Arabidopsis thaliana: one gene and its partner. The protein of the gene in region 1 purifies or fractionates together with the protein of each later gene. This does not show direct contact. Each region holds a gene or a part of one and is shown in the gene's direction. Other genes may lie near its edges.

Evidence for each region.
Region 2: the proteins of AT4G14300 (region 1) and AT1G05740 fractionate together in Arabidopsis thaliana (co-fractionation; one large-scale study listed by BioGRID). This does not show direct contact.

The regions. Positions count from the first base shown.
Region 1 is NC_003075.7:8,224,680-8,241,691, forward strand, and holds AT4G14300 (RNA-binding (RRM/RBD/RNP motifs) family protein), read left to right. Parts: upstream 1-6,322; 5' UTR 6,323-6,499; coding exon 6,500-6,721; intron 6,722-7,092; coding exon 7,093-8,106; 3' UTR 8,107-8,480; intron 8,481-8,629; 3' UTR 8,630-9,084; coding exon of another isoform or gene 9,085-9,332; 3' UTR 9,333-9,397; coding exon of another isoform or gene 9,398-9,548; 3' UTR 9,549-9,602; downstream 9,603-17,012. Other genes in the region: AT4G14280 (ARM repeat superfamily protein), read left to right, coding at 1-395; AT4G14290 (alpha/beta-Hydrolases superfamily protein), read right to left, coding at 868-1,290, 1,382-1,558, 1,802-1,846, 2,187-2,257, 2,336-2,390, 2,479-2,634, 2,737-2,835, 3,092-3,172 and 6 more; AT4G14301 (uncharacterized protein), read right to left, coding at 9,085-9,332, 9,398-9,548; AT4G14305 (Peroxisomal membrane 22 kDa (Mpv17/PMP22) family protein), read right to left, coding at 10,656-10,707, 10,787-10,872, 10,956-11,026, 11,130-11,205, 11,492-11,593, 11,677-11,775, 11,855-11,926; AT4G14310 (Transducin/WD40 repeat-like superfamily protein), read right to left, coding at 12,458-13,001, 13,145-13,761, 13,809-13,889, 14,125-15,645; AT4G14315 (uncharacterized protein), read left to right, coding at 16,315-16,494. UniProt on the Arabidopsis thaliana protein: Involved with pre-mRNA processing. Forms complexes (ribonucleosomes) with at least 20 other different hnRNP and heterogeneous nuclear RNA in the nucleus.
Region 2 is NC_003070.9:1,712,471-1,726,631, forward strand, and holds AT1G05740 (FAM136A-like protein (DUF842)), read left to right. Parts: upstream 1-8,122; 5' UTR 8,123-8,203; coding exon 8,204-8,332; intron 8,333-8,452; coding exon 8,453-8,623; intron 8,624-8,701; coding exon 8,702-8,839; downstream 8,840-14,161. Other genes in the region: AT1G05700 (Leucine-rich repeat transmembrane protein kinase protein), read left to right, coding at 1-81, 168-357, 436-775; AT1G05710 (basic helix-loop-helix (bHLH) DNA-binding superfamily protein), read left to right, coding at 3,728-3,838, 3,949-4,014, 4,089-4,265, 4,392-4,553; AT1G05720 (selenoprotein family protein), read right to left, coding at 5,207-5,279, 5,650-5,831, 5,960-6,018, 6,202-6,379; AT1G05730 (FAM136A-like protein (DUF842)), read left to right, coding at 6,637-6,765, 7,290-7,427, 7,507-7,689; PDE247 (Tetratricopeptide repeat (TPR)-like superfamily protein), read left to right, coding at 9,053-10,555; RTM1 (Mannose-binding lectin superfamily protein), read right to left, coding at 11,327-11,644, 11,764-12,042; AT1G05770 (Mannose-binding lectin superfamily protein), read right to left, coding at 13,077-13,412, 13,562-13,780.

The DNA.
Region 1 (17,012 bases):
GGAAACCTCAAGAAGTTATGGTGGGATTAGCACCACATATTCTCAAGTTAATGAATACTCCCGAAGAATTGAGAGGGATGTTCGAGGAAGCCGGAGTAACCGAGGAAGAACTAGCCAAGGCATTAATCAATATCCTCAAGAGATATGAACAGCCAGTTCCAAAGGTTCCAAGAATCAGGAGGTTTGCAATAGAGCTAACCATTGCGATGATGAAAGCTAACGTTGAGACTGTCAAGACCTTCCAAAACCTTGAGATGAAGAATGAATTAGAGACCGTCTTTGAGACCGCGGCTGAGCTTGAGAACTTTGATATATTTTCTGGCACGGTCGGTTTGGCACGCCATGGTTCAACTATCAATGAACTCATTGAAGAAGCAATGCTGTTGTTGAGGTAGACAAAAGTTCTCATATGTAACAATTTTAAAGACATTGACTGTCTCAACCCCAAATTGTATTGAACTAATTGTCTTTGCTCAACAAGTTTATCAAATGGACTATTTTCTCTTCTTCTTCTTCCACAGTATTTTCTCTGCTTCACACCTACAAGTCCTGAAAATTCTTAACAAAGACAAACATGATCAAAACACATGTAAGATGATTGCATTATACGTTCATAAGAATGGGATTAATTAATGGTATATGTGTAAGATGATCTCATTACATGTTCATAACAAGAGGATAAAAAGACATGGAAGGAACAAAAGATGATTTCTTCTCTTGACAGAGATTTTTGCCAAAACACAACATATATGCATATGAATAAACTCATATAAACCATAACCAGAAGAGAACTTGTCATGACAAACCTTTAAACATTTTAACTTTCCATTCTATTTTGCACAAACAAAAACACATAACTTAATGGAATTATCTACTTTTGAAGAAATTAAGATCCCATCGGCGTAATAACCCCTCTAAAACGTTTCCTGATGTGCTACTACGTCCAACCACAGTCACTGTTGCCTTTGTACGTGCTGACAAATCAATGACATCATTTTTGTTTTGACTCGTTTTAGGCGAAGCACCAGGAACAAAACCATTTACAGGTCCCGGCAGAGAATCTGATGTTTTAGATGGAACACTGGCTACAGAAGATAATCGTGCATCATGGTTACATGGTGTTGGACCAGAAGCAGAATCTGTATCAGAAAGTGCCAGTTCTGGTTCTGTAGTAGAAGCAGCAGCATTACCTTCACTGGTCTCTGTATTGGTCCTGGAAGGTTCTTTTTTCTGATGAGTTTGTTCAACCTCCATGTCCTTCAGCGATTTCATCACCGCTTCCATCAGCATCTGAGGCCAAGAAGATATGTGAATAAACGAATTTATAGAGCTTGGTCATAAGGAGAGTTCAAAGTGCAAAATCCACTTTTTTTACTCTCACCCTCTCTTCTTCCTCTGCATTTGATGGAAAATCTGCCAGCTCATCTACGTGAAACTCCACATATTGATCATCATCTAAAGCTACTGCGAGATGAGGAGGATATGGATCTCCATTCGACAAATCAAAACTGATCATATCAGAAGATGAACTACTGGAGACTTCAAGACTCTCTTTTTCCTGAAATAAGTCCATATCATGCAACATCAGGAACAATCTACCCATCTCTACATTTTTGTTTCTCAGACAGTATTTTACATGTACAGAAGTTGGTCACCCTGCCACTAGCGTCACTACAAATGTTTACTGAATATACATCATATAATATATACATAAATCAGATAGCTTAGTCAATGACCATTGACCATGCCCATACCATAAACAAAGTAATGCAAAAATTAAAGAGATGCTGAGTTTATGTACCTTGGTTTCTGATGACGATTGATTAGATGGGTCGTTGGAAGGAACCTGAGAGAAGTAACAAAAAACCATCAATAGGGAGATATAAAAACCATATACAGTACCACATACACCTGTTGGTAGTTTCTTTGAAGAACCAAGTGAAGCAAACTCTTTTAGTTTGGTATCTATGCAAGAACAGTTACGGTTTCATGATTCAAATTTTGGAATTAATCGGATGTGAATTTCTAATTTTTGGCACTTGATGCGTTTCGAAATTAAAAGCTATAATTATAAACATTAGGGAGACAACTGATTATTCCACATTTCAAGGGAATCAGCGTTAGAGAAAATTATACTTCAAAAATGTGTATTAAAAACTTGCAGAGCATAGTCACAGACCACCAACCTCTGTGCGACTCATAGGTCTTTTTAAGCGGACTTCATTTATAGCATCAGAGGTGCTACCTGGAGCTAAACCTGAAACCAATTAGAAGAGATGTTGCCTAAGGGTACAACAAAACTTGGAATAAACATAGAAGAAGTTGAATGACGTACTTTTCTGTGCTGAGGATGGGGGAGAACTTAGTTGTTGCATGGTGCTCCAACTGCCCTGAACATAAAACAGTTAACATCATTGACCTTTCTTGCTAAAGAACCCCCAAAAAAAAACTAAATATGCATACTGCAAGATTCATTACCTTAGCAAAGTAGTCATCCACCGGGTCAAAAAATGTTGGCCCAACCACCTCTGGAGGTTGAAGAACGTTATGGAAAAAGATGTTTATTGAATCAAAGTAGAATTGTGGCCGTGGTGAATTGTGGTCTCCATCGAATTTGATGATATTTTTGTCTCCCTGGCATAATCAAAAGCCAGAGGTTTAAAGGCTACATGGTCAAGGGTTCATCAAGAACTTATGAGAAGCTAGAGGAAGAAAAGTATAATATGGAAAACTTACTATGTATGCTTCATATATACGCTCTGAGTGATGAGGCTGAATAAAGTCATCATCTACGGCATGTCCAAATAAAACAGGAACAAAACAAGATTTCGCTACCTGCAGAATGAACGATATAAATTGAAAAAAAAAACGAGAAACAAAACATCACTTAATATAAAAACACAACAAAATCTCTACTACCAATTGACTTTGATACAATTACACATTAAGAACAATCATGAATGCCAAATAATGAGGGAAAATAAGTAAATGATCACCAAAAACAATGATGATGTTGCCTTCCAGTGAATAGATTAGTTAATCATCTAAGTAATCAACTAGACTAAAAGTAAAAACTAACAGAGGAAACGACCTTAATGGTGTTGAGATCCGTTATGTTAAAATTGGCTTTCTTCTGAACAGCTCTCCGCATATATTGTATTGCAAATTTTATCTGAAAGAGATTGAAAGAGCTTAAAGTCGTATAATAGATTCAATGTGGAAACCTTGTAGTATGAAGAACAAATCCCACAAGAAACAGACACTACAAATTTACTTTTACTTACAGTAAACTTCGGTAGTCGGAACTTATACGTATCTACAAGCTCCATCATCAAATCAACCAAATCAGAGAATGGGCTGTCTAGAACCATCGCTGCGATAGAGGGATCCTCTGCTCCGTACATCAAGCTGGAAAAGAAGTGTAGCAACGAAATGATTTCATAGTTCAGCAGAAAGAGAGAATGATTGTAGCAATCAAATTTTAAGTTGCAGTGGTTGACGTTTGCCATGTTGTAGATCATTTAGACACAGGAGAGTCAGCTAAATAGACAACAAACCCGACCAAAGAATATTTCATTCGGTTCTTAGCAACTATTCTCCTCTCCACTGGTAAAGAAAAAGGGGCTCACAAGATAAGTAAATCCTCAATTGCTTACAAAATTCAGTTCTATAGTAAACACTTCCATACAGTTTCATGCAACACTGGAAATGAAAACGCTCTTATTAAGTAGTTCAACAAATGAAAGACTTAAAGGAACCTTGTGACAGCACCCATTGAACGACCCCATAAGCCAATCAGGGAGACATTCCCATCCGTGCGCAAATACTCAACCACAGCCTTCAGATCATCTTTCTGCAACCACCAACGTCACGTTTAACAGTAATAAAAGAAGTGACTGCTCTCACAATTCAGGATTATGACTTATGAAGGCAGCGACTGTGAGGGAAGGAAAAATCATTGACAACCTAATCAAGGACACTCAAAGGCACCTAAGTCTACCATGAAATAGAGCATCAAAAACTCTAAATCATTTGGAAATCTTTCTTCAGAAAGATAACAATACCTTCATAGACCAAATGAAGCATCATAGGTGTATTGGTTATAGTGGGATAGAATTCCAATAAACCACGAGACATTCAATCTAACAAATATCAATCGAGAAGCAGATATATTGACTTAAGACAGCTTGTTTACTCCAAACAACGATAAGTTTAGGCCATAACAGCTGAAGGGAAGAAGAGGAATATTTTGAGAAAAGATCAAAGGAGGACATACTTCGTTCCAACCCAAAGTGACATGCTCCCCGCCAGAGAGACCGGATCCCGAAAAGTCAAGCGTGAAAATCGTGATGTTTGAAGGAAGTAATACGATCGCAGCTTCACTGGCATCAGCTCTACATCCACTGAATAAGAATGAATCCATTAATGAATAGTATACTAAAAGAAACATTAAGCTATTATGATAATTGGAAAACTTTAGTAATGTTGGCAACCATATCAGTTGTTTCATTTCAATGCATGGTTGTCATAGTATCCTACCAGCTATTGCATCGATTGAAGGATGAGTTAACTAGCTTATTTCACCAGTACAGCTCAAATCACGTTTTATTAAAATAAAAGTTACGATTACCTGTTGCCATGGCAGTATATTACACAAGGTAGAGGCCTATCTTCAGGACGCTCAACTGGCATGTAATGACTACACTGAAGGATATCTCCTCTGATGTTTTTAACCTGTCACAATATAAGTTCTTCTATAGTCTTAGGTGAACAAAGCACAACTAAAACCTTGAGATCCTAAAGGCAGTCCAAGGCTGGAAAATAAGGAACTCACGCTGATCAACAGTGAACAACTGATGAAATCTACATTGACATTGAATCACAACATGTTTGCTTGGATTCTCTAGTCAGGAGTTCACAACAACAACAGAAGAAAAAAAGCTTTACCTCTAAATCTTTCCTCTGGTACCATCTCCCTTTAAGCAAGAACTCTTGTTCCAAGAGATCATGTTCTGGATTGTATTCAGCTCTACATCAAAACACCAGTTATATTCAACCGTAGATGAAACAAACTAATTAAAACAAATTGGATTTGAAAGAGGAACAGGGTTTTCTTGAGGAAATGCAACCCTAAATCCTAGTATATATTACTTCATCTATATAAAAATCCAAAATCAACTCAAGAACAAGAACCAAAATTTCAAAACTCAAATCTAAAAATCTAAACTTTGTGTGAAACCCAATTCTACAACCTAGTAAAGAGAAATAGAAAGATGAAACTGAAAACTAAATTCCAGAATCAGTAAGTAATTTTTTTCAATTTTCTGAGAGAATCATCACCTTGGAGGTCGAATGACGAAGTTAACAAGCTGCTCCATTAGAAAAAAATCAAACAAATCACCTTCTTCTTCTTCTCATTCTTCCATATTTCTCACAAATAGTCAAAAATCGAATAAAACCTAACCAACGAAAGAGATTCAGATAGAACAAGAAATGTAACTAAAAAAACCCTAAATCAAAAGATCGAGCTGTTCCAGAAGAAAGACAGTGAGATCGAAGAAAGAAAAACACAGAGAAAGAGAAGAAAATAAAGCAAAGTAATAGAAAAACGGCTTTTTCGTTGTTGAAGCCTGAAACTGTTTTTATATTTAAAAATATATAAACAAACTTTATAAATTAGCCCCACATTTTTGCCGCTTTTTACATTTAACGTCTTCACATTTCATTATGGAAATTAATTAATTGGTATTGTCATGTATAATCATTAATCATTATTACTAATTCCAAAGTTTTTTCAGTGAAAGCTGACATTGACCAAAGTCTCTTAAAAAATTTCGAAAAAAAACTCAAAAATTCAATTAAGGTTTTTTAGTGGAGATCGTGCACGTTAATTGTCGTTTATAGGCTATTGTTTTAATTATTTTAAAATATATACGAGGTAATTAAGAGATTAATTAAACTTAAACATATGAGGTTAATTATTACAAGTACTAATAAAGCTGTAATGTGGAGTTTGGAATTTTCGACAACAAAGTGCACATCTGGCACAGAGATTGTCACAGCACGAAAGATTTTTTTGTCGTTCTTGTAGGATTTGCTGGCACGTGTGGAATAGAAAACACACGAGTGAAACCATCGTCGGTCTTTGTAGCCCATTATTTATACTTCTATTGGGCTGGACTTAAGCCCATAAGTAAGCATCTCTGTTACAAGAAAACGGGAAACAGATCTGAACCGTTAATAATATTAGAAAGGATCTAGACCGTTGATTTATTTATCTGCTGACAGATTCGTACCTTCGCGAATATCAATACCAAACCAATAGAAATATTCGTTCGCTGTCTTCTTCCTCTTCCTCCTCTCAAATCGGCTACAGCCATTGGAAAAGCTAAAGCCTTTTCGTAATTTCTGGAAGTTTCTGCAGTCGGTTTTCACGGTTTCGTAGATTGAGGTGGATTTGTGATTCTGGGTCAGAAGTAAGATAGTGGAATATAAATTCATGGATTCGGATCAAGGAAAGCTTTTTGTCGGTGGTATTTCATGGGAAACTGATGAAGATAAGCTGAGAGAACATTTCACCAACTATGGAGAGGTTTCTCAGGCTATTGTGATGAGAGACAAGCTCACAGGTCGACCTAGGGGTTTTGGGTTCGTTATCTTCTCGGATCCTTCTGTTCTCGATAGGGTTCTTCAAGAGAAACACAGCATTGATACCAGAGAGGTTATTATTGTTCTCTTATAGCTCCATTTCTCTAATTGTGTTAAAGTTTTATCCTTTTTGCGTTTTGCTGTGTTGATTGAGAACGAGAGTAAATATAGAATTTTGTTTGGTTGGCAAATTCGCCTTAGTGTTTCTTAGATTCTAGGATTGGTTTTAACTTGTATAAGAGGTATTATAGGGTACTCGATATATGTTAATCGTACACTCTATGAAGTGATTGAGTATAGTATTAGAAAAGAGAGCTTGGTTTGGTTTATTAGGATAAGGAAAAACAGATGTATATATTTTCTGTTGCGTTATGTTCTCGATTTGGGTAAAGTATGATTCTTGGAAGTTTATTATGAGCTTTATTGATTTTGGTTAATGTTTAGGTTGATGTGAAGAGAGCCATGTCAAGAGAGGAGCAGCAAGTCTCTGGAAGAACTGGGAATCTTAATACATCTAGAAGTTCTGGAGGTGATGCTTACAATAAAACCAAGAAGATCTTTGTTGGAGGCTTGCCACCTACTTTGACTGATGAAGAGTTTCGCCAGTACTTTGAAGTTTATGGCCCTGTGACTGATGTTGCAATCATGTATGACCAGGCTACCAACCGTCCTCGTGGGTTTGGATTTGTTTCCTTCGACTCTGAAGATGCGGTAGACAGTGTTTTGCACAAGACTTTCCATGATTTGAGCGGTAAACAAGTTGAAGTAAAGCGTGCTCTTCCTAAAGATGCCAATCCTGGAGGTGGTGGACGATCAATGGGTGGTGGTGGCTCTGGTGGTTACCAGGGTTATGGTGGCAATGAAAGCAGTTATGATGGACGTATGGATTCCAATAGGTTTTTGCAGCATCAAAGTGTTGGAAATGGTTTACCATCTTATGGTTCTTCTGGTTATGGCGCTGGCTATGGAAATGGTAGTAATGGTGCCGGGTATGGTGCCTATGGAGGTTACACTGGTTCTGCTGGAGGTTATGGCGCTGGTGCTACTGCTGGATATGGAGCAACGAACATTCCAGGTGCTGGCTATGGAAGTAGTACTGGAGTTGCTCCGAGAAACTCATGGGACACTCCAGCTTCTAGTGGTTATGGGAACCCAGGCTATGGGAGTGGTGCTGCTCATAGTGGATATGGAGTTCCTGGTGCAGCTCCTCCTACGCAGTCACCATCTGGCTATAGTAACCAAGGCTACGGTTATGGAGGGTACAGTGGAAGTGATTCTGGTTATGGAAATCAAGCTGCATATGGTGTGGTTGGAGGGCGTCCTAGTGGTGGCGGTTCAAACAACCCTGGTAGTGGTGGCTACATGGGAGGTGGTTATGGTGATGGATCTTGGCGATCTGACCCGTCACAAGGTTATGGTGGTGGGTACAATGATGGTCAGGGTCGACAAGGCCAGTAGTGACTGTGTAAGGGGATTATGACCGCCCTGGTTTCTGGATCCTTGTCAAGAAGAATTTAGCTCAAATCAAAGGTTCCACAACTTCCTAACGGGTTGGACTGCTTGAATCTCTTTATAAGCATGTGCTATCTATTACAATAAGTCACTTCTATTAAGTTATTTTTCGGTTGAGTGTACTTTTGAGTTTTGGCAGAGTTATTATAACTACAGGCTTTGCTGTTTTCGTATTATGTTTGTCTTCCTAGTATTCTTGCCGGATTGTTTGTTTTGATTGTGTTATTTTGTTTTGGCCCTGATGGATATAACTTAAGCAGGGAATAATGCTTCAGGGTACTTGTTAAGAAAGCAGATGGTGAGAGCAGAACTCGATGGAGGTGAGAGTCAAATTGCTGAATGTATGGTTTGAGTAGAAAGTAGAGGTAGTTGGTAACGTTAGTGGTACCATTAAGAAGAAGGTGTAGAAAATAGTGAGAGGTAGCTTTGAGAAAAAGGCATAATCATTTTGCGTCGTGTGTTTGTACAGGACTTATCAAGGGCTGCTTGAGTTCTTAGGTGGGGCAACGACTCATCGAGGTTGAATTCAAGGTCTGCTCCTACTCCGAGTTGAGGTAATCACTTGAAGAACGAAGAGGCAAGGTGTTATCAGTATGTGAGCTACTAGGTTCTTTTGTGAGGGGTGAGATTGAAACAAACATAGATAGGCACACACTGTGATAGCACAAGGCAGAGCCACATTGTTAAAATATCTTTTGGGATTACGGGGTTTGATCCGTAATGATGGATATTAGGATACCAAATTCTCATAATTATAGATAGAAACTAGTGGAAACTCAACAGTACAAAGCTTATCTTGAGCTGTGAAACTCAAAGTTACAAATACGTGAAAGCTAATTTAATTTATTCAGAAGTAGTTGCTTTAACCAACTTGTTTACGTGAGACATCCATGCAATGCAACTACAATCTTCTTCTCATTTAGCTCAGTGGTGTCCAAACCAGCCAACACCAAAGCCCCATCCTTTACCTTTTCCAATGCCGCCTCCAATACCACCACCTTTGCCTATTCCGCCGCCAAAGCCCCATCCTTTACCTTTTCCAATGCCGCCTCCAATCCCACCACCTTTGCCGATTCCACCACCAAAGCCTCCACCTTTACTAATGCCACCTCCAAAACCACCGCCTTTGCCTATTCCGTGGCCGAAAATGCCTCCACCTTTACCAATGGCACCTCCAAAACCACCACTTCCCCGGCAGCGATTCCACCTCCTTTGCCAAATCCTCCACCAAAACCACCTCCAAAGCCCTTTCCTCCGCCTATGATGGTCTTCTCCTCTTCATCTTTTCCAAAGGTCACACCTTCTCTTGCAGCCACATAATTCACCACAAAAACATTGAACCACAACAAAGCCAAGAGAGCAGCTCCGTTAACAACGAGACTCCCCATCTCTTTTGTTTTTTTTGTATGTATTAAGTTATGTTTGTTTTTGTATAAGCCAAGACGAGACCAGCTCCGTTTATAAAGGCGAGTGAGTAGCCAATTAATTACACCAACTACTAACTGATCCCGATTGTTTTAACCTCAACTCGTAAATGACTTTACGTTTTCGTAGATTACCCATCACATATTCACTCTTACCATGACTTCATCGACGCATTTTCTAGTCTATAAGACTATAAGACTACAACTCCATACGAGCTTTAAGTTTTCATTTTGGTACAGTAAGCATATAACCTTTTTTTTTGTCAAATACAGAAGTATATAACTTTCTCCAAATCATTTTCTAGATAAAGTAATAACATTTTCGTTATGTTCTTTTTTGAAGCACATCATTTCAATAAATTTGAAAAACTTTTTTTCTTTTTTTTGATTGAGAAACTCTCGTTATATGGAAGTGAGAGAATGATCAGAATAATAAACTATAGTTTGCTACGTCAATGGACAACGTTTATTATTGGTTTTTTAGTTTGGTGGTTTGATTCTATGTACGTAGACGTTTAATCTAAAGTTCTCTGTAAAGCGAAACATTATTTAGGTTTACAACGAATGTCTAATATTGACAAACAAAAGAAGAAGAATGTCTAATAGATAGATACTTAAAATGTAGATAAATAAAAGTGTTACAGGAAATTGATTTAAATTGGTATGTGTGTTTCTCAAATCTACTAAAATATGGTTAGAATTAAGTATCTACATCAAATATGAGTAAGTGAAGTAAAAGCAGCCTGATTGTATTCGATAGTCCCACTCCTTCCTACTAGTTCTTTAATTTTATAGGTGGGACTGTGGGAGTTTAGTACTTGATACATATTCTAAATTTTAGAGAAAATTATGTATTTATCTAACTATTTTTACAGCAAACATTTTTGCTAAAGTGTTCGTAATTGTGAGAGACTGCAATGTTTCTGTGAAACAACAAAACAGTTACAGAGTTTGATCTATTCAATAATCATCACATCTCTCAGATTTTACTTGAGATTCAATTCTTGAAACTTTTGTACATTTCAAGAAAAACAAAAGAGATCCATTCTTGTTTCCTCCATATAGAGTTCTCTACGCGTTTTTGATCACCGGAGATCGCGCTTTCAAGTTCAGAAATATGCTCCTAAATATATTAAAAGACAAAGATGTTACCAGAAAACTCTCTTCATATCAAAATGAGAGAGGACGGTAAGAGCTTTTACCAGCAAGAGGCGACGAAGCTGCTGAACAAAACACGGAATTGGAGAGGCACATACTGATAATTAACCCATCCCACGATAGGCCAGAACTGTTATTTACATAGACAGTTTTAGAAATTTAAACCAACCAAAAGTGTAACAAAATGAAATGGTAGTGAGTCTCATTTATTACCTTCCATGCGGTTAACTGGATAGTAGGGTAATCTTTTCCAAGTTTGTGCTTCACTAGCTTCCATGGCCTTCCTGTGAAAACATTACAGGACAATGTCAGATCTTAAACTCCAAATCACAAATCACTAAAGAGAAAACAAAACAATACATTTCAGAACTAGACCATGGTCGTTACCTTCAACTACTAAACCATAGTAAGACATGAAAAGAAAATTGTTCCAAGGAGATGATGTAAGTTGCTCCAACAAAACCTGATTCAACACAGTTTTTGTTAGGTCCACAAAATCCATCCTTAAGCACACAGTAAGAGATCTCTGTACATATATTGATCATACGATTATACTAATTTAAGCACATTCAAATTCCAAATTGCAACAAGGAAACTAACAGAATATAAGTTAAACAAGTTGTTGTAATCTAGAATCCAATTCCAAGGATGGATACAAACAAACTGGGAAAACAAGTGTTTGACTTGTTATATAACCAAGAATTCAAAAAGCATTCAAGAAGATGATAGTTTGGTTCAAAAGACAAAACCTTTTTGGCAACAGTTGAATTACCCTTCTTCCCTTTGAAAATGGTATCCATCAATTTGTGGAAAAAGTGACCAAATGGTCCTCCATAAGCAAAGCCATACAACTGCACAAAAGAGATCATCACATTTTCTCCAGACTAAAAAAGTATATAACTGCAAACATATATAAGACAAATAAGGAACGAACCATAAGGAGAAGCAATCTCCGGAACTGAATCCGTTTAACTCCAGAGATCTTCTGAGCTATAGCATCACTACATCCAGCTAAAACCCCTGCAGTGATCGCCTGAAAAAATATCATTACGACGACATGATCATCGCAAGATTCTCATAAACTGAGACTTCTTTGATCGAAATTAACAAACCTTGGTTCGTAAAGGATGAGCTTGAAGCTGAATCAGATACTTTCGCCATGCGTCTTTAGCAAGATCCGACATGGCTCGAAGATTCAATAGCAAGATTTTGACAAGACTAAAAGATCCAGATTTGATTTAAGAGAAGTTAACCATGTTTCGTATTAACAAAAAAAAATTAGATTATGGGTAACGAATGGATTTACTTTAGGCCAAATTAAGAAATATCTAAATTAGGAATATATTCGTTAGTCAAATATGCTTTGTCATATCTTTTTCTTCGGACCATTTTATAACACAGAAATCATCTGAGTAATGAGAAAGAAACCTAGGAAATTGATCAAAACACCACATGTATGTACAGAGTAAAGTCAAATAAGCAAATAGCACGAAAGAGAATCCAGAAAAGCATCATAGTTGGTAACAAAGAGCAATAGTATGAACACAACACAAGAGAAAGCAGCACAAGCTGTGCTAACACTTGCTAAATATAGGTCTCGTGGGATCACCATCTTTAGATTGATTTACTCACCTGAAAGAAACGAAATTCAACTATAAACATCAGCCACAAGTTTGTATTCAAGACTTCTTTCTTCAACAATTTTATTGCTTTACCTATAAGAGGTATCTCCATAAAGCCGGGCGGTCTCTTGAGATGAGGAGTACACGACAACCTGAGTAGTCAAATGACGGGCAATACATATCGTTTGGACCGATGATCTCTCTTACTGTTTGAACGCTTCCATAGTCACTTGTCAATGGCTGTTGTTGCAAGGTCTCTTCTTTTGCAGTATCAAACACAAATAGTCCCATACCAGAAGTAGCCATGACAAAATTTGAATTTCCCCAGACTTGGGTTATTGCAGAGTGGTGCGGGTGAGAGTTTGAGTCAGGCAGACTGTATGTGCTCACGAGACGCTGTTTCCTTATGGAGAATTGCTGCACCTGAGAAGAAGAAGCCATTTGTTTCTTGACAGTTGATTTCTGATTGGTACATCCTAGAAACACTGAATCTCCTCGAGATGATACACATTGAGCATTAACACCGAGTTTGGGGATTTTAGCACCAATGCCAGATGGGTTACGAAAATCTAAGATGTTGATTGAATCACTAGTGCAGAATACTCCGTCGTTTCCTTCAGCATCCAAGGAACTTACTCTGCATTCCATGTGAAGAGAACATTATAAGTGAATGAGAGAGAAAGAGTAAAGTATCCACATTGTTTAGCTTCCACATATTCAATTTATGAGGCCAAGCGAGGAGATAGTAAGAGGCTAAATGGTAAAATAAAGTTTTTTTACCTTTGACGAACACCACCCCCAACTTCAGCATCTGTGTTGTTGATATGAAAAGCTGAGATTTTTCGCCCTGAAGAGGAAATGGTGTGCTGTGCTTCAGGGTGAAGGGAATTGACATCCCAAACAGAAATTGCTTCAGTTTCGGCTATGACAAGTTTTCCTCGATTCCTCCATTGTAAAGGGCTCGAATAATCTAAAGCTGACACAGGATTTTGCACACCCCATTTCATGATTTGTTCCCCATCTCGTATGTCAAAAACCTTTACTATACTTTGAAAACTACCAGTTGATGCTATAAGAGGACCACACGGTCTGTACCACCATTGTTGAGTTTCTGGTACCACTGCACAAGCCGGAGTGTTCCTACCATGTGATGTGTTATTGGGTAGAGGAGCAAGAGCTGTTCTTGAAACTCTTGAAGATCCGTCCTCGATGTGGAGTGCCTTAATGTCTTTCGTGTAGAAATCCCATGAACAAAAGCCAGATTCTAAGGTATTCCCAGCAGAAGCAGCTACGACATATCTGCCTGAGCAGCCATCAGCACCCGGTGCACGAACTACCCAGCAATCTCTCCAAGTGTTTGGTGAGATACCATCTGGAGGACTGTACACAGATTTCACCTGAAAAAGAATTTCAAGTCTTTGATGTAAAAGATAATAATGCATACATAGTGAACAAAGCCAAAAACTCCAGTCACTTCATACAAACGCACCCAGATTGACAGAGAATTACATTCATTAACCATAAACTGTGCATACTATTAGCCCAAAATAAAGCTTTAGTCACTAAGTATTTCTGCAAGTATAAGATGAAAAATCCAATCTAAATCAAAATAAGATATGCTAAACATCTTCTCGTAACTTGAGATATGTGTATGTTGTGGTCAATATGAGATTTTAAAATCAATGTTCCACACTAGCACAGTTCAAGTTAGATCAAACATGATACTAAAAACTTTTCATAAATGAAGAAACGCATAGTACCTCAGAGTTAGCGACATCGTAATAGGAACACGAGCCATCATCATGAGCAAGTATAACTGCCTCGCCCTCTGATACAAACCATCCTCCTGTAGAAGTTTTGGACCCAATGTCATTGAGTTGATACATGCATCCATCATCTATTTCTTCCAGCTCCATCTCCTCTCTATTCTCTTCATCATCAATTTCCTCGAGGGCTTCGTTTGCTCTAAGAATTTCAGTTAAGTTGGAAGTCAGATTGACGTCTTTTGAGACATCATTTTCCTTTGACGGCTCCTCTGTATCCATCTCCTGCACTTCCAGATTTTCCAGCGCATTCTGATCACTCATAAATGTGACTTTTTCCTTGTCAAGTGAGGCCAAGAACTCTAGAGCTATCGCATTCTCCTCAACAGGAGCTGACGGCTTTTCTTCAGCATTCACTGCCTTGTTGGACTCAACAGAATCATGGCCTTTTGAGACATGCGAAGATGTTTTGGACTGAGTTCTGCTCCTTAGCAACCTCTGGTGAGGCAAGAGTCTGTCTTCCAGCTCTTCCTTATTTAATCCTTTCACAGAACTTTTTGCTTTCGTAGTTTTGTTTTTCTCTGGACCATCAATAACATGACTCATAGACTTTTCAATCCCTGTGATTTTCTGATGTATATCAGAGATTATAACCTTAGACGAATCCGGATTGTTCAAATCCAGCATATCCTTTGTCTTCTTGATATCTGATGCAATTTTCTTAACCTTTCCTTCAAGAAAAGCAAGCTTCTCGTGCAGCTTGCTTGGATACTTAGCAGTACTATTGCTGCTTCCTTCATTTCCTCTTATATCCTTTGACATCTCCATTGCCTTCCCAACATTATCCAAAGACTTCCTTCTTAAAGCTACACTAGTCCCTTTCCCAGTCTTTTCAATCTTACTATCAGATTTCAAAGCAACAGTAGATTTCTCTCCAGAACCAACTAAAGCATGTGCCTTTGGATCAGAAATTGAATTTCTCGCCACACTAGAACCTTCAAATTTGCTTGAATTCACTGGACAACTACTTCCTTCATCTGCTTTCTCACAAACACTACTTGGCTCAACCTTAATTTCACTCGTACCCTGTTTGAATCCAGAACTCTTGAGCCCAGACTTCTTATCCTGACCCGATTCACCCTTTTCCCCAATAACCCTAGATTCATTTCTCTTTCTCAAATCCGAGAAAACCCTAATCAAATCAGATGGACTAGAACTCCTACCTCGCAAACCAGATGACGTGGATCGCGTAACCCGACCCTCGCCACTCACGGCGGACTTATCAATGCGCGGTACAGGCCGGAGCACTGGCTTCTGAGTCGATCCAAATGAGCGGTGACTAAGCTTCGGATTCGGATTCTCTTTGCTGGATAATGATTTCTGAAGAGCGGGATTTGAATTTTTGCTTGAGATCGGAAGTGGAGTTACAGACCTCAATGGTTTTTTACCAGATGATGGATTTTCACCGGCGCCGGTGTTTATATCTTTTAGCCGGCGGCGATTCGTTGAAGCTGACATCTGCAAAATCGTAGGGTAAAATGATTTAGGATTTTGAAAAAAAAGTTTGGGGGAAAAATAAAAGCTTTTGATTTTTGAAGAAAAAGCACAAAACGATAAATGGAGGATATCACTACCGCAACTCCACAAGCCGACAAATTTATTAGAGTTTCAATTTCAAAATATTTGGGCGGGATTTCCAAAAAAAAAACTCAAAATTTTTGGAGATCGCGAATGTTCAAAAAGTCGATTGATTAACGAAACGCAGCGTTTAGGTAAATTTATTAAACACGTGATAGCAACAAATGCAGAACGCGACATTTTGAAACACGTGGCAGTGTAGAAATAGCGACACGAATTTTGTTAACTAAAACGCTGCGTTTTTAATAAAATATACAGTAACAGTTGAATAGTTGATTGCGACACGAAACGATGCGTTTAGGGTATGCTGTTTTTAAAACACGTGGCAGCAACAAATAAACCGAAACGCAGCGTTTTGAGGTGGTTATTAACGTGAAAGGTCTCGCCAGTTTTTGTGTTTCATGCATTAGTACACGAAACGTTGTCTTCTACTTCTCGGGGAAACGACACAACCGTAGATTTGATGTCTGAATCTGTGTATATATAACTTCTCCAATTAGAGACACTAACACAGAATTGATCACTACTCCTATCGAAAAGTAGACGAAAATGGCGAATGAGTATGGATTCGGGATGGGTTCGGTTTTGGCGATTGTTGTCGTTGCACTAATGTTACTGTTTGTTCCGTTGATGATGGGACCGGTGACTGCACCATCTCTTCCAATGATCTTGATGTTTCCGGTCGTATTGCTCTTTGTGTTTCTCTATCTCCATTTTACTTCCAAGTGATCAAACATCAAATCTCTTTCTATTATTATCGTGTAATATGCAGTACGTATTTATTTCGATAGTATTGCTCTTACGTTTTTGGTTATACATTTATAAAAACAAAAATTGTATTTGTTCTATTATATACAATATATCAATTGACTAACGCATGCGCAGTTGGTTTGGATCTCTATTGATTTGCAAGTAAATTTTTTGGATTTATCTTTCTTTCTCACTTCGTTTCTTACATTATTAGAGAATTTGACTTACATCGCGATGTATGTTTTACAAGCAAGTAGAATCGATGCCACTTTCCTTAGATATTAGCGTAGTAGACAATGTCAATGATCGAGAAATATACACAAAAGTACCTAACTTTTGTCAGCATGAACAGATTTGAATGATATTACGTAATTGTAGAGAAGAAACTTACCTTAAAATTAACACCTCTAAAAGGTAAGAATGTGTTAGTAGAAAATGGCTATTCATATTGTAAAATTAAAAGGCCGTATAATTAGTACAGAGGAATTCGACTTGGA
Region 2 (14,161 bases), on another chromosome or scaffold:
TGGCGGATCATCTCGCGGGAAAGTATCAGCACACATTGAGCTGGAGACAAAGGCTTCAGATTGCACTTGATGCAGCACAAGGTATGATGAAACAAAGTGTCGATCTTTTATATACTAGGTTATTAATTAATCCAAAAGTTTAAATCTTTAACGAAAAATCTATGAAGGGCTTGAGTATCTTCACTGTGGATGCAAACCTCCAATAGTCCACAGAGATGTGAAGACTTCAAACATATTGTTGAACGAGAAAAACAGAGCAAAGCTTGCAGATTTCGGACTCTCACGGAGTTTTCATACAGAGAGTCGTTCTCACGTATCCACCCTAGTCGCTGGAACTCCCGGATATCTCGATCCGCTGTCAGTTTTCTCTCTTATGTCTGCCATATTTGCCAAACATGGAATCTTTTTTTAGTGATTGTATGCTCCGTTTTGCAGATGCTTTGAGACAAATGGGCTAAACGAGAAGAGTGACATTTACAGCTTTGGAGTTGTTCTGTTGGAGATGATTACAGGCAAAACCGTGATCAAAGAGTCACAAACGAAACGTGTTCATGTGAGTGATTGGGTGATATCGATCTTGAGGTCTACGAATGATGTGAACAATGTTATAGATTCAAAGATGGCGAAAGATTTTGATGTAAACTCTGTATGGAAAGTTGTGGAGCTTGCATTATCCTCTGTTTCGCAGAACGTCTCTGATAGGCCAAACATGCCACATATTGTTAGAGGATTGAATGAGTGTCTTCAAAGAGAAGAGAGTAACAAGAACTATTGATGTCACAACGCAAAGGGTGTAGAATAAGTCAAGGGGTTGGAAACAGAAAGATGTTGAAAACTTGGGAGTGTTTATATATTTAAATTTTTGAAAGGCTTTTTAAAGTTTGTGTTGCTAATGCTATATCTAAAAGCCCAAAGTAATAATGTAATGGAATAGAAAAGAATCCATAATAAATAGGAAAAAACAAAGAAAAAGTACCTAATCCGGTAGCCACAAGGAAAAAAGAGGACAAGAAGATGGTGACAACAAGACAAAGACCGAAGCCGCGTAGGACCCCAAACGTACCTTTTAAATAAAACGCTGATTCCTTTCGGACTTTTGCGTCGCACGGTCTGTGCCGCTGTCCCCACAAATCTCTATTTTTTACACACGCAATCTCTACCTCTGCGTCTGCGTTTCGAAACGTGACTCTTCTAACCGCTCCACGTGAGTGACTTTTAGAGCGAGTTTGGTGTCCGAAACCACGCGTGCGCGTCTCCTCAACGCCTGAGTCTCTCTATGAAGTTGCATTGACGTCAGAAAAATTAAATTTGTCTTACTTGAAACATAAAAATTTACAGTAGTAAATTATCATTTTCATAACACTTCATTTATTCTCTTGTAGTTAAACAACGGATATACTAATGAAATGAACTCGTTCAATCTAATTAAAATCTCATTATTAATGGTAGACGCTAGAGAATCTCATTATTGTAGGTGTTAATTTATGAAAATAATACATCACTTTCAATCACTGATTTGATTAGATTGATGGATTTTATATACAGCCCATGTTTTTAACCTCTCTAGTTGAAATTTTGGTTGATTTTAAAGAGAAGAGAACAAAAATTCAAAGACGAAAAAAGCAAAAAGTGGAAAGTAGAAACAAAAAGACTGATGGTGCAGAGAGCTGGTCAAATATGTTGACAAAATAAAATAACCTTACAATGTCACTATCATCAATAAATGAAAAAATAGTTCTCTCTATCTATCTATAATAATAATAATAAAAGCAACTTCTACCTGGGACTGATATTAACTACGAAGACCTCTCACTCTCTCAATGGGTTGTATAATAGCTGTCAAATTATGATGTATTTAGTCACAAGACAAAAGACTGATTCTGAACACTAAAGCCTAATTAGGGATTAGTCTTTACTCTTTAGTCATCTGTTTCATCTTTATTATTAAAGTTTGCAGGAGTTGTAGTAGATGGTGTGGGGGCAATATATGCAGAACATGCATGCTTCCAAAATGTCCTAACTACGTCACTTAAGGTTCCATTTTTTTCTATCTAAACTAAGAAATACTTATGTATCTATTAATCTACATCTAATTGGTTGTCAAAAAAAAATGTATCATAGAAGTCTTTGGAGCACATAAATAAAACATCTGGAGATTTTCTGAACATAATGTGAGGTCAAGAATTTGTGTGCAAAATTACAATTTTCAGGCATGAGTGGCTCTGATTTTGACCATTTGAATAAATTTGTAGCTTGTTATAACCTTTACACTCGTAAGGAAAAAATTATCAAAAAATATTGATAGTCGATAAAATTGAAAACTCTAGATTTATACAAATCAATAAATAAATTTGAAAATAATTAAATGAGAAGTAAATGACATTACTTCACCCAAAAAGAGTCTAGACGAAAAAGACAGACATAAAAATAAGTCCCCTTCTATTTGTTTGGAGCATAAACAAAAACAGACACAGTTTCTTCTCTCTCTCTCTCTGTCTCTTTCCTTTTCTCACGCCGAGATTTCTGCGACTGCTCTAATCTTACGACCTTATAAGAAACGACGCTTATTTTCACTCTGCTTGAGCTCTTCATCGTGTCACACAGCACGATCTTGGACGTCGTTTTAAGCGCAAAACAAAGGAAAAAGACTGACGTTTATACATACTAAATACTGGTTTGGAGTTTTGCCTTTTGGACTCAGAAAACTCAAAAGAGAGAGAGAGACATTTCTGTATCTTATCGGGTTTTGTGTTGTCAGAAAGAAGCTCAAGGACAAAAAAAAAAGCAATTATTTTTAGGGTTCAAACGAAGCAAAATTTGGAACTTTCAGAAGTTGTGGGTGGTGGCTTCTTGAACAATAAAGCTTTTTCTTAGACTCTTCTTCCAATTTGTGACTCTACCTATCTCTCTCTCCGTAAGCTCTTTCTCTCTCTCTTTATTCGTTCTTTCTTTATTTGCTCTGTTTCTTTACTCCATTTTTGGCTTAATTACACCAAATTTAGTCTGCTAAAAGCTAATTTCAAGCATAATTACTTATCTCTCCTCTTCTTGTTGCTAACCTTCAGTTGGATTAGGTTTTGATTTCGTTTATACGACAATCCCCGTGACTGAAAAAGTTACCAACTTTGATAGATATCGTTACCAGATTCTACTCATAGTTTTGTTATTGTAATGCAAGAAGTTGAGTTCTTGTTTACATTAACTTCAATAATTCACTGAGAGTGACTTTTTGTTCTCCTCTGATCCGTGGAGGATTCTCTATATGTGTTTTGTTTTTTGGGGGGGTTTTCTCCTGTTTTTAGGGACTCTATTGATTCATGCATATATGATGTTATTCTCTGTTTATGAGTTTATGCAAATAATCTAAGCAAGGTATGATAACATATTTAATCTTTTTGTTTGAGCTTATAATTGTGCTTAGAAATCTTAAAATAATGCTTAAGCTGATGTGAACTTGAGGCCTAGCCTCTGACCACAAATCCTAGCCTACTTCGTTGACCATACCTTTGTCTTGGCTTAATATTCTAAATTTCTCTTCCAAATCCTGTCTCCCAATGCATTGGTTGGTCCAAAACAAGATCATCATTTCATAGATCTTGTAATCTTTCTGGTCTGTAATTTGCTCTAGGATGGTAACCTTGTACCCTATGTAACATGTCTTGTTAGTATAAATTTTGGGTCATGTTGTGTTGATGACTCTTTAGCGCATTTCTTATTGACAAAAGGTATGGAATTCTCTAGAGACGCTGGAATGATGATGGAGAATAAGCGGAATGTCTGCTCTCTCGGAGAAAGCAGTATCAAACGCCACAAGTCTGATCTCTCTTTCAGTTCCAAGGTTTTGCTTATCCTAGCTAGTTTTCATGGATTTCTCGGTCGAAATAGTCTTCGGTACAACAAATTGCATGGTAATGATCCGTCCATCTTTGTTCTCTTAATGGCAAACAGGAGAGGAAGGACAAGGTTGGAGAACGTATTTCAGCTCTTCAACAAATAGTTTCCCCTTATGGAAAGGTAACTTTGTTTTTTTTGGCAAGCAAATCAAAAGAATCTGTCTCTCAGCTCATACTTTTCTCTAATGTTCACAGACCGACACTGCATCAGTTCTTCTAGACGCGATGCATTACATAGAGTTTCTTCACGAACAAGTGAAGGTCTGCAGTTCAATACCAAGCATGATTCATTCATCTTTATCTGAGTTCCCATGTTCTTTTGTACAGGTGCTAAGTGCTCCGTATCTGCAAACGGTACCTGATGCTACGCAGGTGAGTATGATCTTGAATCTCAACTTCATTTATACTTAGTTCACTAGTTCTACTCTGCATCTGACAGATCTTCACTTGGAACTTGAATACCTTGCACGGACTGATTTTCCCGTCTTTTGTAACCAGGAGGAGCTGGAGCAGTACAGCCTGAGAAACAGAGGATTATGTCTTGTTCCAATGGAGAATACAGTTGGAGTTGCTCAAAGCAACGGCGCTGATATATGGGCGCCCGTGAAGACTCCTCTATCACCAGCTTTCAGTGTCACATCTCAATCACCCTTTAGATGACCAATTCGACTAATCACCTACTACGATCTTTGTGTTAAGCCTAAAAAAGAATGACCAATTGTTATTTTTCTGATGATGCCTCTGTAACATATATAGACAGAGAGCACATGATGTTGGTTTAGAACAGCTCATGGTTGGCAATGATTGTTATTATTATTCGACTGCTTAATGCATCCCCTTACTTTGGACTTGTGTAATATGCCCAAACAGGAACCAAATGATTTTAATGCAAAGTAATCTTTATCCCAAAAAATGCCTCAGATATCTTAAGCTTTTCTTTGTGTGATTCTTACCTACAGCATCCAATACATTATTCTAGATCTAAAGACCCAAGGCAAGCTTTCTTTCAGTGCTGAAGGTATGATCGTGGATTTCCCTAATACATATAGCTTTCTTTCAGTGCTTGTAATAGTGCCAAACTGCTGACCACAGAATTAAGATTATCCTTTCATAAGAACATTGGATTAAATACATTACCACTGAGAATTGCAAAGGTTCAGAACATACAGACTGTTGATACCAAGGGACCAAATAGCTTGGACAAAGATAAGATAAGTCGGTCATAATGTGTTTTTAACTACTAGATTGCAATGCTTTGGCATATGTAAATGTGACAGGGAGGATCATCCTCTTCAGCTCTACATGGGATAAAACTAACTTGCTGCAGTAGGCTTGACCTTCTCTCGCATATACTGCAGTAGATGTTCGCGTTTCCAGTTGTCGATTCTGCAAAACAAGCAAATCAAGAAACAAAGAGGTCAGCTACAACCTTGGAGGAATGAAGTTGTGTTGCTGATAGAGGATGAGGTGTTAAAGACATCACTTATTCATGCTCACAACGAGAAAATCCTTTCAAAAACCAATTTAAACTAGAGGTCTAAGTAAATGATACAGCAGAATGTAACAGAGCAACGAGAGAGTGAGAATAGAAACTGCTGCAGATCCATGGATAGTTATATTTTTATCTACCAAGCTAACATGGATATATCAGGTCACCTTGAACGTCTTAAATCAGGTCAACTCGTTCCCCCACCCAAACTCTAATACTAAAGATTCTAGCAAGGAGTTGAGCAAAGGGGGTTATAAAGCAACTTACCTAATTGATTCCTTATGTTCACCGTCTTCGTCGAGCATGATCAACTTGGGTGGTGAGTTGAAAATGTACTGAACTTTGACGCTAGGGAACTTTTCTTTCTCTTCTTCAATGAAACCAACAATTTCAGGATAGAAAACCAACTTCCTCATACACACCTCTAATATAGCGCCAGAATAGGTAACCTGCAATGGCAAAAAAATGTAAACTTCTCTTCATTCATATCCATGTTATAGGAGATGTTTCTGTATTCATCTAATCTATTCCCATTAAAATTCAAAAGCACTACAAATTACATGCCTAGTGATCGTACCTTGCTCATGGAATCCTCAGAATCATCAGCACAACATTTCAAGCAATCAGATACCAACTCTGCAAACAAGATCAATCAATATAAGATAACCAATTTAGTAATTCCACTCCTCAAAACCAACTTTAGAGAGAATGATCTAGCTCATAAAATACACAAAAACTAAAATATAGAATCTTTTGGGGGAAAAAAAGCAAAACTGCAGTAATTGAGATCAAATAAAGCACGCATAGAAAGGCACGAACCTTGGTCCTTAACGTATTCAGAGAGTGAGTGGCAATCGGAGCAGAGTGCAAGACCGCTAAACCCTAGATCCTCACATTCTTTAGTGCTGAGCTGCTCTTTTGCTGAGATCGTCGATGCCAATATCAAAATCATCATCGCTGATAAAACAACCATCTTCGCCATCTCTCTCTGTTTCATCAACAGATCAAAGTCTTCGCAGATCCGACGCTACTCTAACTAATGTCGCTGCCTTGCTATGATCCGATCCGGTCAATTCCGGTTTTTTAAGTATCCGAAAAAGCAATCTTGGTATAGAGGAAACCATCTCCGGTTATAAATAAAAAAGTCTTAACCGACGTGAAAAGTGTTAAAACCCCAATTCACATTAGCCTGTTGCGATCTAAAACCTCTAAAACCCTAGAATCAAAATCGCCCATTCGAGATCGAGAGAGACGATGGATCACATAGCGGCAGCGGAGGAGCAAATTGTAACGGAGAGGATTAGAAGAAAACTTGAAGAAGTTAATGCAACTGCTCAATCGCAACTCTCTCCTATTCAAGATCACATCAATTTCACCCTTCAGGTATATTAACAATCATATACCTTTTTGTAGCATTCCTGATCCTCCTACTCATAGGTGTATGTTATTTGTGTGCTCGTGTTGATTTTGATTCGGGTGACCAATTTACCAATTCTGAAAAAGCCGAAATTTTCCTTCAACTTGTAATCGCAACAAAAGAGAAAAACTTGTCCTTTTGTTCCATATATTGTCCAATTCAAGGCATTAATCTGTTCTAGTTAAGTTCACTTGTGGACTTGTGGTATATCTCTTTTATAATGGGTTTTAACTAAGTTTTCTGAGCTAATTTTTGCTGCCCTTTGATACAATCTGTCTAGTTAATAACATGAAAGTTTGTAGTCATGTTAAGTTCCTGGAAGCTGTGTCTTGTTGTAGTCATGTTAAGTAGTTCCTGGAAACTTAAACTTGACAGTTTTCATTATATCTCTACAGCTATATTAGTATAACTCAAGTTGTATGAAAGCGTATTGTTTTCATATTTATTTGTTAAGTTGATGAATCAAACCCGGAAAATTGATCAATTGCAGCAAGCCTATTTCAAATGTGCATACGAGTGCTTTGACAGAAATAGGAAGCAAGAGGAGATAGCCAACTGTGTTGAGCACTGCAGTGTTCCAGTTGTCAATGCTCAACAGCATTTCGAAGGCGAAATGTCTCAGTTTCAGGTATAATATAATTTCAACTCACAAAAAATGCATAATTTTACAATGGACTGAGAAACTTGCAATTGTAATTATGATGCAGGAAAGGATGAACAGATCTCTCATGGTCTGTCAAGACAAATTTGAGGCTGCAAAGCTCCATAAGAACAGGGGAGATGCCGCCAAAGCTATGGAGAGTTGTGTGAACACATCCATTGAGGATAGTCTCGATACATTGCCTCATATTGTGCAGAGAATGAAGACGTCATTCTCCATTGCCGACTAATAATAATCCTCTGTTGGGAAAAAGGGGCATCTTTACTTTTGTCTCTTGCTAATCATATTCATGCCCTTTCACTATGACTCAATAGATAAACACAATGGATGGTAGGAGTTGTGTAGTGGTAAAGTATATCAGACCATAACTTTATATAAGATTATGAGGATCTTGAACAACAAGCTTTTCACAGTATGTGGTATGAGGAAAAACAAATCACCAGATCTGTATTCAACTGAAAGATCTTAAAACCAATGTGTTTCGAAGAGGAAGAATAGGTAAAGCAAACCTTGTAGTTGTAGTTGTACTTTCTTTAAAGCTGAGGAGCTAATTGCAGGAACCAAAACGTCAGTCATAAATAATTTTGAATCGAACCAAACCCCATCCGAGTTTATTCGGTTTCAGTTTATCCTGAAGGGGTGTTTTTTGTCTTGTCGGTCGGAGAACCTCGCCTATATAAATAAATGCTTCCAATTTGAAGAGCAGCTAAACCCTAACCCTAAAATCTCCAGAGAGAGAGACGATGGATCGCATGGCAGTTGCGGAAGAGCAAATCCTATTGGAGAGGGTTAGGAGAAAAATCGAAGAAGTAAATGCATCTGGTCAGTCGCAGCTCTCTCCTATTCAAGAACATATCAGTTTCACCCTTCTGGTATATATATATATATATATATATATATATTTCTACAATCATTTAGTACAAGTATTGCTATATCTTTTAACAAACTAGGGCAGAAAAGTTAATTAGTTTTACTTTTGAGTTTCGCTAAAGATTTATGCACCTTTGATTGATGATGAATTGCAGCAAGCTTATTTCAAATGCTCAAACGAGTGCTTTGAGAAAAGAAGAAAGCCAGAAGTGACAACTAACTGTGTTGAGCTCTGTCGTGTTCCCGTTGCTAAATCTCAACAGCAATTCGATAGCGATATGGCCAAGTTTCAGGTACAAAAATAGTCCTTAACTGATCCCATTAAGCTTTTGCCATGTACTGAGAAACTTGCATTTGGTTAACTAATGCAGGATAGGATGAACAGATCTCTCATGGTATGTCAAGACAAATTCGAGGCTGCAAAGCTACTGAATATGAACAGGATTGATGCCGCCAAAGATATGGAGGGTTGCGTAAACGATGCAGCTGCAGCATTACTTGGCGGCTAAGCAACCAACGGTGTTTATTAGGGCTTTTAAAAGTTTTTTTGTATTTCTATACAGTTGATTTGGATTTACTTGTGCTGAGATAGACTATCGTTTAATTAAAATCTTAAAACCGGATCAAACCGGATTCTATTTTACCCGGTCTTATGTCCAAAGTCGGGTTTAGTTAGAGATAAAAGGAAAAAATCAATTTTAAAAAGTCACCATCTCAATCGAATGGGTCTCCTTCCCGTCGTCGGAATTACTTCGCCGGCGCTCATCACCCACAAAAATCACGCCAATCCAAAGATACAGAGACATAATCAATCTACCTCCGAGACCACTGTTTCATGGACTTCTCGCATCAATCTCCTCACGCGCAATGGTCGATTAGCGGAGGCAGCGAAGGAATTCTCCGATATGACACTCGCCGGCGTAGAGCCTAACCACATCACTTTCATAGCTCTACTCTCCGGGTGTGGTGATTTTACCTCCGGAAGTGAAGCCTTGGGCGATTTGCTTCATGGGTATGCTTGTAAACTTGGTCTTGATAGAAACCATGTCATGGTTGGCACCGCAATTATCGGCATGTACTCCAAACGCGGCCGTTTTAAGAAGGCTAGATTGGTTTTTGATTACATGGAAGATAAAAATTCGGTTACTTGGAATACAATGATCGATGGGTACATGAGAAGTGGTCAAGTCGATAACGCTGCTAAGATGTTCGACAAAATGCCTGAACGAGACTTGATTTCTTGGACGGCTATGATAAATGGCTTTGTTAAGAAAGGTTATCAAGAGGAAGCTTTGTTATGGTTCCGTGAAATGCAGATTTCTGGAGTAAAACCAGATTACGTTGCTATTATTGCTGCTCTTAACGCTTGCACAAACCTTGGTGCTCTCTCATTTGGATTATGGGTACATCGTTATGTTTTGAGTCAGGATTTCAAGAACAATGTGAGGGTGAGTAATTCACTGATCGATTTGTATTGTCGATGCGGGTGTGTGGAGTTTGCTCGACAAGTTTTTTACAACATGGAGAAACGAACCGTAGTTTCGTGGAATTCAGTCATTGTTGGTTTTGCTGCTAATGGAAATGCACATGAATCATTAGTCTACTTCAGGAAAATGCAAGAGAAAGGCTTTAAACCTGACGCAGTCACTTTCACTGGGGCGCTTACCGCGTGTAGCCATGTAGGTCTAGTTGAAGAAGGTCTTCGATATTTTCAAATTATGAAATGTGATTACAGAATCTCGCCTCGAATTGAGCATTATGGATGCTTAGTGGATTTGTATAGTCGGGCTGGGAGATTGGAAGACGCTTTGAAGTTGGTGCAGAGCATGCCAATGAAGCCAAATGAAGTTGTGATTGGATCGTTGCTTGCAGCTTGCAGCAATCATGGGAACAATATCGTCTTAGCAGAGAGGCTGATGAAGCATCTTACCGACCTGAATGTGAAAAGCCATTCAAATTATGTGATTCTCTCGAATATGTATGCTGCTGATGGAAAATGGGAAGGAGCAAGTAAGATGAGAAGGAAGATGAAGGGTCTCGGTCTAAAAAAGCAGCCTGGGTTTAGTTCGATAGAGATTGATGATTGCATGCATGTGTTCATGGCCGGTGACAATGCCCATGTTGAGACCACTTATATCCGCGAGGTCCTGGAGCTTATTTCTTCTGATTTGCGATTACAGGGCTGTGTAGTTGAAACCCTTGCTGGTGATCTCCTCAATGCTTGAAATCCAGGAACCTCCACATCCCATTTTTTGTTCAAGTCCTGAGCGTGAGCATTTGCTCAAATTGGTTGACCGCAAAGAAGCCTTACAGTGGTCTTAGTCTTAGAGTCTTAGAGATGCTGAACGCTAGAATATACCTCATTACATAACCATTGTCGCTTCCTCCAACCTTTTTGCCAGGCCCTACCAATAAAGATCTGGGTGTATATCGCTATTTAAACCTGCTGAATAGAGGCCACACAAGGATATGGTGCTCCCGTGTTTTGTAAGCTTCGAATCCAAGCTATGTGGCCTTGGCGGCCGTCTCCTCGTGCTAATAAGGTAACCTGAATCTATGTGCATTCTTCTGTGTCTTGTCATGTTATGTTGATGTTATTGCTGGTTACTGTCAAGTTAGTAAACAGTTCAATAACTCCCACATTTTGCAACACTTTGGTGTTCTGTTTGCGTGGATTTTGTGATACCTTGGGGCATTTTCTAGCATTTGTTTACCTAGCAGTGATCATAGCACAGGATTGATTCAGCGAAATGCATAGGCAGTACAACATCTATAAGACCTGCTAGCTTGAGTGTAATTATTCCCAACAATATCCTTGTTAATGCATTTTTCGAAGATAGTGAGTTCTGTTCTAGGTACATCTGGTATTGTTAATGTTGTATCATAAAGGTTAAAGTATTTTGACGATTATATGTTACACATATCAGTTTATTCATAGAAGAATTTTCATAATTAAGAATGTACAATCAGCAGAATAGAGTCGTATACAAACACTTTCAGCCCAGTACAATTTTTGACTCTGTTTCCTCTGCATTGCCCGTATCTATTTTGGGTAGAACTGTTTTTGGGCGGAGATAAACACCAATGTACTGTAGTCCCGAGGCATCATAAGTCCCATGGAAACCGCCGAACTGAGGAGATTTCCCGAGTTTAAAAGCAAATTTGTCGTTGCTCGAACCGGAGGTGCCAAAAGGACCGTACTCGCTAGTGTTGGTATTGAATTTGAGAGACCTCATGTGAGGATTGTTGGCTTCATACTTGTAATACTCTCCACTGATTCCAGTTATGTACTCATGCGGATAGTTGAGCTCTATCTGCTGGGTCCAAATCACATATTAAGTTATAAAAAAAAAGTTATAACCATGTTCTTAGCATTTTAGTTGGAAGTAGAAATTGTGACGGAGAAAAAAGAAGAGTCAAAAATCAGACTTACAACGTCAAACATGTTGCCGGAAAATGGACCGTGACGATCGGATAAAACGAGTTTTCCGTCCATCACGAACTGGAATTGGATAGACATAATTCCAGCGACGCCATGAGATAGAAAAATCTGAGAGATGAAGCCATCGTGAGATCCTTCGTCCCAGTTTACAATTGTAGTGCTTCTAGCATCATGCTTCCCTACAGGTCCTATCTTCATTTTCCCTTTCTTTTTTTTTGTACGACCAAAACTCAAAAGCTCTTTTGTTTGGTTACATAACGAAAATAGCATAACATTAATATATATACATGTAGAGATTCAAAGTTCTCTAACTCTGAAGTCTCAGATTGGAATATGCCTATCCAATTTGATATTAGTAATTCATCTTACGATTCATTGTTTTATTGCATTTATCTTTGCTTCTTCTCTCCATTACCCAATTTGTTTTAATGAAATGACTAATAGATTTGTTACTAGAGATTCTTTAAGATAATGTTCTTATTTTGACGCCTCAGATTGGAATATTCGTTTACAATCTTGCATAGCTTCATCTAGCAAATTATTTCCTTTCTTTCATTTGCTTTGACAAAGAGTCGAATTTTGAAAGAATGTATTGTCGGATGAAAATTATGTAATGCAATGATTATCTTAGTCTGTTAAAACGATTTACTACGTTGGTCGAGACATAAGTATAGTTTTTTCTAATGTCATTACAATTTCAATTGTATTTGGCTGTTTTTAAAGACAAAAATATTCAAGTTTTATACACATATTTAGACTATATGTATTTAACTCAAAATAGGGTTTTATTTGCACGCCTCAGTAGTCATGATTAATAAGTTATTTATATACATAAATCTTGCAGGATAATATGTATTTATTTGAATGTCTCATATTAGAATTATTTCAAAGAAAAAGGATTCTAGTAATTATTAAAAAAACTTGGTGCGGAGGATTCTAGTAATTTTTGATTAATACATTTAAGAGAATTTTAAATTAGCAAAATGTTTTTCCGGATGGAGGTTATCCCAAAAACATCTTCTGATAGAAAAATAAATCTGTGAGATGTCGTTGTTGAGACTTGAGAGTTGAGACCATATGGTCCCTATATTGAGGATTAATTGTGTTTGTGGGAAAATATATTCCCTGCTGGGCAACGAGGAATATGGTTGAACCAATGATTATTTATATGCTTAATGCATGTGTATATATTTACAGACGCATCACACACACGTAAAGTAATTTTATTCATACAAAGTTCGAAAGATATTGATATAAACGCATGTAGAGGCTGAAGAAGGTTTAAGATTAATACACAATTTCATTTAACCCAAAACAATGTTTGACTCAGTTTCCTCTGCATTGCGTGTACCGGTAGGTTTAACAATTGTTGGTTGGAGATAAACACCGATATTTTGTAGTCCCGAGGCATTATATGTCCCATAGAAACCGCTGAACTGGCGAAATTTCCCTAGTTTGAATCTGAACTGTTGTTCGTGATTCCAAATCGAAGACTGAGAGCTCGAGCCGCCAAAAGGACCGTACTGATTAAGGTTGGTAGCAAATGCAAGAGACCTTATCTGAGGGCCGCTAGCGCCATCGGACTTGAGATACTCTCCACTAATTCCTGTTATGTACTCATGTGGGCAGTTCAAAAGTATCTGCATAGCCCAAAATCCACATTTTAATTTATATTAACCATGTTCGTGAGATCAATATATATAATTAAGTACATTAAGTTGTTGTTAGTAAATTTCGAATCTAGTGATTCGTGTACTAATGAAGAAAAACAAAAACAGAACACACTCACAACGTCAAACATGCTGCCAGTATTCTGACCGTGGCAGGAGGATAAGAAAAATGTATCGTCGAGCATGAACTGGAACTGGATAGAGAAAACACCGGTGGGACCATGAGATAGAAATATTTGAGAGATGATTCCATTGTGACTTCCTTCATCCCAATCGACCATTGTTTTCTTACCTGAATAATCCGTTCCCACTGGTCCTATCTTGATTTTCCCTTCCATTTTCTTCTTTATGTGTTTTTTTTGTTCCCTCTTACTTTAAGGATAATGCAAGAGTTAATTTCTTATAAGTCGGTGTTTTTAGGATAATCTTGTTACATGATGAGATATTCCAATCTTGCATAACTTGTAAACAATATATATTCCTTACCTTTATTCCATGTCTATCTATTTAATAAGTCATAAATTGAAACATATCAAATAATCAAACCGTCAAAATTAATTGTAGTACAAAAAAAACCGTTAAAATTAAACAAAAACCGTCAAAATAATCTTAGTAAAAAAATACCGTCAAGATTAATGTTTGTACCGTCCCACGAATCGGCTTATACCGCTCTTACAAGCAATCTTATTTAACCCGCCGAGTCTAAGACCGAGAGTGCA